Linked DNA regions of Coturnix japonica. The protein of the gene in region 1 purifies or fractionates together with the protein of each later gene. This does not show direct contact. Links are inferred from orthologs where the notes say so. Each region holds a gene or a part of one and is shown in the gene's direction. Other genes may lie near its edges. The genes, in order: JADE1, MEAF6 and ING4.

Region 1 (3,107 bases):
CACAGTGGTGCCAGTATTACAGGGTTCTTTTGTGCTCAATTTCTACATGCAATAGGACTAAATTCTCCATTCCCTTCACAGCTGTTGCCTCTCTCAGTCATCAGTGACACATCTTCTTGTTAATAAGATAAGGATGTATCTTAGTAGAGAGCAAGAGGGGACCTTACAGACTGTCCTGTTCCCTTACTGTTATTTAGAAAGAATGTTTTTACCAACCATGCTTTTGTGCACTCTGGTCTTCACTGCCCAGTCATGCACAAAGCTTAGAAAATACCTTTTACCTATCATAATTGTGCCCCATGCAATGTCTCCTTATCATGCTCTGCACCTTAGAGTCACTTACCACTCCAGACAGGGGGATTACTCACAGAGTCCTCTGAACAAGACTATCCGGGCAAAGCTTCCCAGCTGTCCCATTGGGGTGACCAGAAAACTGCTGTCTGAAAAGTGGATTTGGTGCCTTGTGTACAATATGTCAATGAACGCACACTCAGGAGAGACGTTGCTTTTTGGCCTGTGGATGTGACTTTTGCTATTATAGTGAAGGTGGTTCAGCAAAAGATACATGGACTCTTGAGTTTTCTTGCCAAGTTGGTAACATTCTCAAAGCATCCTGATTAATGTTCCACTCAAGGCCTGCTGGCTCTGGGATGTCTCTGCTTAAAGGATGCCAAGATGCCGTTTATTCTTCTGATACTTAATACAGCGTTAGCTCAGTTTTTAGAGTAAGCTCTCCATGTAAGTGTACTTCTGCAGTGTGGACCTCCCAGATCTGATAAACTGTCAATTAAATGGTATTAAAGACTGTCTTTTAAGAAGTGTTTTGGAGACTCATCCACTTTTGATGCCTTCTAGGTACGTAATCTCACTTACATGGTGACTCGAAGGGAAAAAATCAAGAGATCTGTTTGCAAAGTTCAAGAACAGATATTCAATATCTACGCAAAACAGTTGGAACAAGAAAAAGTCTCAGGTATGCTTCAGCATTGTCTTTTTCACGTGACACCACAGGCATAGACACTGAAATGTTTAGAGTGGAGTCTAGTCTACTTCAGAGCAGAGTTTAGTGTAGAGTCTAACAACTGATTTTGAAGGACAAGCAAGACCTCATTTATTCTCATTAGAATTGTATGTAGTCCACCATGCATCAGCAGATTGGAAGAACATAAAAATTTGCATAGCTCTAATGGAGGGCACATTGTTATAGAAACAGGTAAGCCTGTATTATCCTTGGAGGACCAAATGGCTTGGTGCTTCAGGTCCTGTCAGTTGTGATTCTTTAATGACACCTTTTGACAGAGAGACCATGACTTACATTCAGGTGCCATATGGTATCTGCTAGGTTTATGTTTTATTAATGCCACTGCATTAGTGTTTTTCTTTGCATTGTAGGGTAGTTTTGAAACATCATACTTTTTCTGCCTAATCTTACTGAAAGTAGTCTTTACTCCCAGGAGAAGAACTTCAGAGTTACTGTATTAACTCAGATTATCCTCAAAGCATCCAGCAACGAATTAATTTTAGACAGAATCAATCATATTGACCTGCTGATGGCATATCTTACCCCATCTGAGGAGTTCCTATGTCTTAATGCACGTAACAGCACTAGGAATTGTATTTGCTACAGGTTTAATTGGCCGTAGCGTGGCTACGGGGAATTCAGCAACATCAGCAGTGTGCTGTGAAACCAGGATGTAGCCATGTAGTCATGATGTAAAGGCGCTGGATATGCAACCAAATGCCCATTTACACTTAAAAAAGTTGTCTGGCAGTAGTGGTGTTAAAATATGTACTACTTTAAAGCGGTATTTGCCCAGACATGGATTGCTTGACTTCAACCTAAATTTGTTTTTACCTTTAGGTGTGCCTTCTTCATTCTCTGCAATGGAAAACGCAGTGTTGTTCAATAGTCCATCTTTGGGTCCCAATGCCCCTAAAATTGAGGATTTGAAATGGCATTCAGCGTTCTTCAGGAAACAGATGGGCACATCTCTAACACACTCTCTGAAAAAATCACACAGAAGAGACAGAGTAAGTAATAGCTCTGGGAACAGTAGCAAGGCAACGCTGAGGCAGCCCAGCCAAAGGGGAGACGGTGCAACTCCAGGAAGCCTTTTAAATTTTGACAAGAGCTTTGCAGAAACACGGATTGTATCAGCACAGCAGAAGAATGGCATAGTTATGCCAGACCACAGAAAAAGAAGAGACAATCTTCCACAATGCGAGGTAATCAAGACAGAACTAAAAGAAAAAACTAAGCATAACCACAAACCACTGAGACCCACAGAACTCTCTCAGAGGCAATCAGAAAACAAAAGGGCTGTGAACCACTCCAGTGGTAGGTCAGCACCTGGCACGCGGAGGGATATAGTGCCTAAATGCAATGGGGGTCTTGTCAAAATAAACTCCAATCAGACAGTAGTTAAAGTGCCTATGACACCCACGAGCCCAGTGAAAAACTGGGGCGGATTCCGGATTCCAAAGAAGGGGGAGAGGCAACAGCAAGGTGAGAGCCCAGAGGAGACCTGCCGCCAGAACTCTGGTTATCCCTACCTAGGCGTGGGCAGAGTGTCACCGAAGGATAGGGCAAAAAGCAAGCCGAAGCCTGACAGCGAGAATGATGGGTACGTCCCTGATGCTGAAATGAGCGACTCGGAAAGCGAAGTAGCTGAAAAAAAGTGCAGACAGCAGAGGCTCAGCCCAAACAGCACTATCAGCAGAAGGACGGACATTATTAGGAGAAGCATCCTGGCATCCTGACCGGGCAATGGGGCACCGTGGTCAGTGGTCACTGCCTACAAACCAACTTCACTTTATTTATTGGTGTGAGAGGGGAGAGTTCTTAGACATGGCTACAGACCAACAAATAGCTAGCCCGTTATTCCTGAGCTGTATGAACATGTTTACATACACTTAAAGCTGGATTTTTTGGCCCCCTGGCCCATTCCGTGACAAGTTTGATTCTCCTTTATTTGCATCTTCCCTGAGTAAGCAGAGAATTGGCATCACTACTAAAACAGGATGTTAGTGATGAACACTAAAGTAAGTCACAAAATCATCTAGGGGGCTAGGGTGGGTAGTGGGGAATTAGGCAGCATCATCCCTTT
Region 2 (4,174 bases), on another chromosome or scaffold:
GCCTTAAAGTCCTTCTGTTGCTGACTGGTTCTTATGGTTTATTGTGGGGGACTCCACTGAATATTTGGCTTTGGTAGGTCTGTATAGTGGGAAATCTGACTTATTTCACCCCCCTGACAAGCAAAAGAGCAGCTGGATGTGAATGATCTGATGCTGGAAACATGTTCAAAGATGGTTTTCTGCTGGATAAAGAAACGATGTAGAACACAGCAAAGTGTATTTAAGAATATTTTTATCCACTGTTTTTTGTCATAAGCCTTTGAAAACGCTACTGAACTGAGGTGTTAGTTTCAAATGTAACCCCATGCATTGTTTGTAATGTCTTGTTTTGTAGAGTTTGCCAAATTCTAGAGTTCTAGAAGGGAGAATGACCAGGTTTGCTACTAAAAGAGGGATATTGCAAAGGTTTTATGTGTCCTGGGTGGTTGCTCTGCACTGTGAGCAATGGGCATTTGACCACAATGAGCTGCCTGTCGATTCCAAGGTAAGTGAGAAGAAAAGGAAACACAACCTGAGGCTTTTAGGTTGCAACGATGTGGTTTGGGAGGGCTGAGGTCCACATCAATGCACGCTATACATTGCAGCACCCAAACTATGGCTGACTGTCATGTATCTCCTAAACCTCAGCCCTTTGTTTCTATCAGCTCCATGAGTAACTTAATGTTTTTTGTTTGTAATTGTACTCGTTACGTGGTGGCATGTTTTTATTACCCGGTTTGCACTATTTAAGTTTTTCTTTATATATATATATATATATATAAAAAGAACTGAAGCTCTCGTTGCTTTCTAACATTCTCCCCCACAGGAAAAGCTTTAGGAAGAGGAAATTAAAAACCCCAATGACTGGAAACAAACACATCTCACCTCTTTGTGGCTGTCTGTTCCCTATGGTTTCCATGTTGATGCTTAACACACTGTTGCCTGTTTGTTCTATGGCCACACACACAACCTGTATACACACACTGGAGCATTGATGGTGTAAATACGGGGTGTTGATATAGGTTTTCATATAGAAAGCAGGATAGATCTTGGCTTGAAGGATCACCTTTATATATATACACAATCTCAAGGTTTTTAAATAAAGAATTTGTAATTCTATTTAATTGTAATGTTTCTTTCCTATATCCCTATTTCCCCCCCATGCACTGCACAGGGAAGCACTGAGCCCTGCTTTTGAGCTGCTGAGTGAGCAGAAGGGTTCAACCTTATATTCGAGGTTTGCCTTGTTGTTTATTGCACAGACCCAAATCCTGGATGCTTTTAGGGCTCCCCATCACCCCCCTCCCATGTCCCTATTAAGCCCGACCCTATAGCGGCTGCGGGGCGGAGCAGGGGGGCGGAGCGCTGTTCAGTGCTGCCCCCTAGCGGCCATTCCCCGCAGCCCCGCCCGCTCCCCGCAGGCCGCAGCCGCCATGGCCGCCCTGCACGCTAAGTCCGGCGGACCCCCGCAAATCCCGGACACCCGAAGGGAGCTGGCCGAGCTGGTGAAACGCAAACAGGAGCTGGCGGTGAGCAGGGAGCGATGGGGACGGGGGGGATAAAGTGGGAAGGCGGTGAGGCTTGTGGTTGTGGTTGTGGCCTTAAGGTAAGGCCAGGCCCGCTTCTATGCATCGCGCTGTGTGTGCCCGGTAGGAGACGCTGGCCAACCTGGAAAGGCAGATTTATGCTTTCGAAGGGAGTTACCTGGAGGACACGCAGATGTACGGCAACATCATCCGCGGCTGGGACCGTTATCTCACCAACCAGAAGTGAGTGTGGACCCCAAACCCGCCCTCCCATCCATCCCAACCCCCCACCCCCCCTTTCCATGACCCCCAAACCCCCCTCCCATACATTCCAACCCCCCCCTTCCCATGGACCCCCAAATCCCCCTCTCCATCCATCCAACCCTCCCCGGCTTCCATACCCCCAAACCCCCTTCCCATTCTCCCAACCCCTCCCCTTCCCATGGACCCTCCAAAACCCCCTCCCCATCATCCCAACCCCTCCCCTTCCATGACCCCCAGAACCCCCCCTTCCATGACCCCAAACCCCGCCTTCCCATCCATCCCAGCCCCCCCCTTTCCATGGACCCTCAGCCCCGCCTCTCTCCCATCCATCCCAACCCGCCCCCCTTCCTTCCATGGGACCCCCAAACCCCCCTCCCCATCCATCCAACCCCCCCCCCCCCTTCCATGGGCCGCCTCCATCCTCTTTTCTCCTTTGCAGGAACTCCAACAGCAAAAACGACCGCAGGAACCGCAAGTTTAAAGAGGCCGAGAGGCTCTTCAGCAAATCCTCAGTCACTTCTGCTGCGGTAAGAGCTGCCCCCAGCCCCCAACCCCATGGGACCAAGCTGCTGTGGGTATCTGTTAAGCCATGAGTGCATCCCTGTTGTCATTAACACCCATTTCATCCTTCCAGGCTGTCAGTGCGTTAGCTGGAGTCCAGGATCAGCTCATTGAGAAGCGTAAGTCACCTCTTCACTTGGCAGAATTAGGAAGAATTGAGCTTCTCCCCACAGCTCGGCCCCATCTCTGCTTTGTTGGGCTCTCTGCTGTCCACTTTGGATGGAGAAACCAGGATTGAAGTGATGCCTTTAGATGTCTTGTGTCTCTCCATCAGCTGCACGTGGCTATGGGAGGAGATAAGAGCTTCACTACTGGAGGCTGCAGCCTGTTGTGGGCATCCAGCTTTAAGACCTTTCCTTCTGCTGTCACCATGGCTTTGGGTCTGACAGCAGGGCTGCATTTCCAGTCCTTGGCACCAGAAATTTGGGTGTCTGTAGTTCTTGTAGCCCTTTTTTCCCCCCCATACTTTGCAGGAGCAGCCCTGGGATGTGAACAGTGAGGTGATAATCATTGGGCTCTTCTGCTTCTCGTCCCATTCCAGGTGAGCCGGGCAGTGGGACTGAAAGCGACACATCTCCAGACTTCCATAATCAGGAGAACGAACCCAGCCAGGAGGATGCTGAGGAGTTGGATGGATCAGTGCAAGGGGTGAAACCCCAAAAAGCAGCTTCTTCCACTTCTGGAAGCCATCACAGCAGCCACAAAAAAAGGAAGAATAAAAACAGGCACAGGTTAGTGGCACCGACAGCCTTCTAGTAGTGCAATGGGAACGGTTGGCTCTTGCTGATGATGTGAAGGGAGCTAGTAACTCGTCAGGTCGTTTGGTTCTATCACTTGCTTTGAAGCTGCCTGTGCTCCTGCTGCTCTCCTTGTGTCAGGGAGGGAGGCAGCTCAGCAGGCATATTCAGCACAGGGTACTCACAGCTCAGGTGTTTCTGACCAGGCTTTGTGGGTTCTTTTCTCTTTTCAAGCAGAATAAAGCTGTCTTCCCTGCAGTAGAGGAAGATGACAGCCCCGGCTTCCTGTGGTTGTTCTTTGGTTTCTACTGAGCTAAGGGAGATAGGAATGTCAGTGCTTTCTTTGGAGGAGGAGGATGGAAAACAGCTTAGAGTGTTCTGGGGGCTGCCGACACTCACTATCTTTACTACATTTTCTACTCCAAAGCTTTCCTGTTATCGTGTCCCAGAGTCCTTTGATTATAGCACGTACAAGTTGCTCTATCACACAGACCACAAGCTCTTGTTATTAAACTGGCCTGAAATTCACATGAAACAGATTTCCTGAGCTCTTTGTGATTGAATTTAGGTGACCACTTCAACCCTTTAAGGCGCACCTTCAAGGCAAGATGCAGCACAGTGGGCTGACAGCTCACATTGGGATTCATTGAATTCCAGTGCTGCTTTCCCTGGATGTCAGGTTCTTATTGAGCTCATTGGCTTTGGGTATGGATGGATATTCCTCTTTGAGGAGCCTTCCTATACAAATGGTTTATAATACAGTGATAGATCCCACAGGGACTGCTGGGAAAAGGTCTGTCTGGGAGACACCAAGGTAGGTGTAGTGCCTGAAAGCCAATTAATTACGACTTATTAGTTAGATTTTCAGCCATTAGCATTTTTAATTGGAAGGTCAGGGTTTTCTCCCCACAGCAGCCTTATTCAGGCACACATCCCAAAGTATTGGATGTCCTTTTGGGTTCCTCCTGAGCAAGGAACCAGCAACAGTTCAGAAGTGGTTTTTAGCCCTCAGGCAGTTGGGAGGAAGGCCAGGAGTAACAGAGCACGTCTCTAAACCACTTCAGAGAAACAATCTGTACGACTGAAGTACAGCATAAGAATGCTGCT
Region 3 (3,635 bases), on another chromosome or scaffold:
AACAGAAGGTGAGGATTAGAGATGGTTTCTGTGATGGGAAAGGAATTGTGCAGCCTGGATGGCTTTTCTTCCTTTGCTTTCATCACTGGGACCTCGGGGAAAAGCAGGAAACCTGCAGTTTTCTTAACAGAAGGCACTATAGTGCCTATGTATGTACATGTATTTATGTGTTCAATGGTCAACTTGTTTCAGACCTCAAATCGGAGATTGATAAGTTGGCCACGGAGTATATCAGCAATGCACGGACTTTGTCGTCAGAGGAAAAACTGGGGCTTCTCAAGCAAATCCAGGAGGCCTACGGGAAATGCAAAGAATTTGGGGATGACAAGGTTCAGCTGGCTATGCAGACCTATGAGATGGTATGAAGGGAAGTGTCTAGTGATTGTTTCATGAAAGGCTGTGCTGAAGACCCTGATCTCTCTCTTTCAACCCTCACCCACTCTTGCTTTCCCTCTCTTAGAGCAAGCCCTGTACCCTGTCCTCTTTGCTGTCTTGGGCTCTGTTCTGTGGTAACTCCTGATCACTGTCTTTGCAGGTTGATAAGCACATCCGACGGCTGGACACAGATCTTGCTCGCTTTGAAGCAGACCTGAAGGAGAAGCAGATAGAATCGAGTGACTATGACAGTTCTTCCAGCAAGGGCAAGAAGAGTGAGTACCACCACTGGGCTGCAGATTGATACAGGAGGCAGCCAAGTGACTGTGGAAGTGGTGGGGATGAAGGCAGGCACTGAAGTGGTACAGACTGTTACGCTGGAATCTGAAGGACAGGTAAAAAGATGGTGACCAGGGCTCTTCTTGTGTGAGCGTATTCAAGGCCACTAGATAAAATTAAGCTGAAGTGCGTGGCCCAGAGTTCTGAAGTAGGAGTGCATTTTGGTGCTGAAGAGGTTGTTACTGTCGGGTGTCTATTTTGACAGGATGGGATATGCAATAACTTTTTCTCTTGTTGCCAGAGGGCCGAGCCCAAAAAGAGAAGAAAGCTGCACGTGCACGCTCTAAAGGGAAGAATTCTGATGAAGAGGCACCAAAGACTGCCCAAAAGAAATTAAAGCTTGTCCGCACGTAAGCATTTAAGACGCTTGGGGGAATGAGGAGCAGCACTACAAATCAGACTAAGAGAGACTTAGCCAGGCTTCCCTATGAAGAGTTTAATCCCCACCCAGACCAGATGTTGTATATTTCTCCCTGGAAAGAAAGGAGGGAGACCTTTTAGTTTTTTTCAAGGGATTGTGGTGTGAAGGGGAAGACAGATCACTCTAGTGGATGTGGATGTATGTACTTAAAAAGGAGGAGTGGCAGTCTCTGGCAAGCAAGGGCATTGTAATGGGAGATATGATGCTAGTTGATTTACTGACCTGATTTATTTCTCTTTCCTGTAGTAGCACAGAATATGGGATGCCTTCAGTCACATTTGGAAATGTGCACCCTTCAGATGTATTGGATATGCCTGTGGACCCCAATGAGCCTACTTACTGCCTCTGCCACCAGGTCTCCTATGGGGAGATGATTGGCTGCGACAACCCAGATGTAAGAGCCTGTAGTTGATGGATGTGGGGGAGAAGGGAATGGAGAGTCTTGTGCTGCTTGGGTGGGGCCTGATATAGAGGCAGTGACAGTAGCAGGGCTCAGCTGGGAAGAGCAGTGGACTGGCCGGTTAAGTGCAGTTTTCTTTGGGGTTTTCCCTAATACGACTGATATTTTCTTTGCCCTGTACTCAGCAAGGGAGAATTCTGCTTATGAACAACGTGTAGGTTGGGTGTGAGACTGTTTCCCAGCAGATCCCATTAGGGTTGCTACTAGTGATTTCAGAATTCGTGATTAAGCATTGGGAAGTTTCAGCAGACCATAAACAATGATTTCAAGAGAGAACTGCTTTTTAACTGAGTGCTCTCCACCTCAACAGTGCTCCATCGAATGGTTTCATTTTGCCTGTGTGGGTCTGACAACAAAACCAAGAGGAAAATGGTGAGTGAGTGATTAAAACAAACGTTCTGGAGGGCCCATTGGTCTCTGGAAAGAGGAGGTCGTGGGTGACAGAAAATAAGAGATAAATAAATAAAGGAGAAAATAAGACTTTTTCAGAAGGAAAATTTGAATTAAGACTTTGATATCGTGGAAAAGATCCTTTGAAACTGTGATTTCAGTGTTTGTATCAGATCATAAATGCTGGCTTTTTGCTTTCCTTTCTACCAGGTTCTGCCCTCGCTGTTCCCAGGAGAGGAAGAAGAAGTAAAATCCCATGAGCCTTGAATACTGCTGCAGGAGCTCTCTTCCCCCTGCCAGGGCCTCGTCCCAGCTCCCCCAGCCCTTGGGACCTTGGCTAGGGGGAGTCTTGCCCTGTTTGTGGTTTGGGCCATCCCTGGAATGGTGTGTACCCTTGCGGCAGTTCCAGTGTGTCCTGTATCCCTGGCTGCTTCCAAATCCTTAAGGGAGGCCCTCTCTGTGTACTATTCCAAACAGGTCTCTGAACCTCAAAGGGAGTGAATGAGGGCACCAGGGTAGCCACCAGATTCCCAGGGATTCAGGTAGCCCCTGATTTTCCTTGGCTTTCCTTCAGCCTCCTCAGAGTTCATTGCCTACTCTCTGCTGAGAGAACAAGGCTATGGGATGGGGGAAGGAAAGGAGGTAAGTCTTCAGCATTTTAGGTCTTCTATTTTCCTGGATCTTTTTCAGGAGAGAGGGAGTAACCAGGCCACTGCTTAATCTAGTAGCTTGGTTGAGAGACTGAAAACTTTAACGTACTCCCTATCTTTAATCATTCCACTACTTTGTCTGGCATTGAGCAGCCTCTTTTATTGGGGCAAGGAGGAAGAAGGAGAGTTTAGAGCTAGCTTTCTCTCTTACTCCTGGGGTAAACCTGCTGGCCTGGGAAGCACACTGTATGAAGGAAGAAGAATTTCTGGCCATGTGGTGAGAAACGGTTTGATTTAGCCTGTCTTCTGGCTCCAGAATTCTCCCTCCCTTTAGTACAGTGGGGCTTCTCCATTATGTTGATGATGGAAAGCTGAGGGATCCAAAATCCCACTTGTATACTATAGAATTAAATAAAATTCATTCAAACAAATGCTCAGTTTTGTCTTGCTGTCACCTCCAAAGTAAGTAATTGGTCTCTTTCTTAGATCTTTCTCAGCTCAGCTTTTCCACTGATGAATGCAGCACAGCTTTTTTCATGTAATAATACTGAACGTTCTGCCAAGGTCATCCTTTAAAATACATCCAATACACTCGGTCAAAGAATTTCTAAGCTTTCCAGTGTCTGTGGAAAACATCTGCCTCCTTAGTCCCATCCCCACAAATGACAAGATGCTTATTCTCATTTTTGTTGTTTTTTCATCTGTAATCTCTTAAATGAGTGAGGAAGAACAGAGATGACCAGCCCTCGCTATGGCTGTCGGGCAGTACAACTAAGAAAATAAGCCATCGGCACAAAGCTTTTGCATCCAAGAATGTGGACAAGTTTTTTTAGATATCCTGTTAACTTGTTCCCCAGTGAGTCACCTTCACCTTGTACCACTTTGCTGCCAGAAACTCCAGGTACTGTTAATAAAGTAGTGCTGTAATGTTGGCAAGTGAGGAGATGTTCCTTACTGAAGCTGGCCCTTATCAGTTTAATCAGTTCCTAGAATCAGAATT

What was found.
Region 2: the proteins of JADE1 (region 1) and MEAF6 purify together in Homo sapiens (affinity purification with mass spectrometry; 5 studies listed by BioGRID and IntAct, counting the BioPlex papers as one, with this or other methods). This does not show direct contact. The link is inferred for Coturnix japonica from reciprocal best matches to the Homo sapiens genes JADE1 and MEAF6.
Region 3: the proteins of JADE1 (region 1) and ING4 purify together in Homo sapiens (affinity purification with mass spectrometry; 4 studies listed by BioGRID and IntAct, with this or other methods). This does not show direct contact. The link is inferred for Coturnix japonica from reciprocal best matches to the Homo sapiens genes JADE1 and ING4.

What each region holds. Positions count from the first base shown.
Region 1 is NC_029519.1:30,521,763-30,524,869, forward strand, and holds part of JADE1 (protein Jade-1), read left to right. Parts: intron 1-855; coding exon 856-973; intron 974-1,855; exon of another isoform or gene 1,856-1,861; coding exon 1,862-2,760; 3' UTR 2,761-3,107.
Region 2 is NC_029538.1:3,342,648-3,346,821, forward strand, and holds the start of MEAF6 (chromatin modification-related protein MEAF6), read left to right. Parts: upstream 1-1,362; 5' UTR 1,363-1,412; coding exon 1,413-1,508; intron 1,509-1,632; coding exon 1,633-1,748; intron 1,749-2,208; coding exon 2,209-2,296; intron 2,297-2,403; coding exon 2,404-2,449; intron 2,450-2,871; coding exon 2,872-3,061; intron 3,062-3,304; coding exon of another isoform or gene 3,305-3,329; exon of another isoform or gene 3,330-4,047; intron 4,048-4,174.
Region 3 is NC_029516.1:69,398,995-69,402,629, reverse strand, and holds the end of ING4 (inhibitor of growth protein 4), read left to right. Parts: coding exon 1-8; intron 9-192; coding exon 193-359; intron 360-535; coding exon 536-650; intron 651-955; coding exon 956-1,064; intron 1,065-1,381; coding exon 1,382-1,529; intron 1,530-1,905; coding exon 1,906-1,967; intron 1,968-2,195; coding exon 2,196-2,235; 3' UTR 2,236-3,066; downstream 3,067-3,635.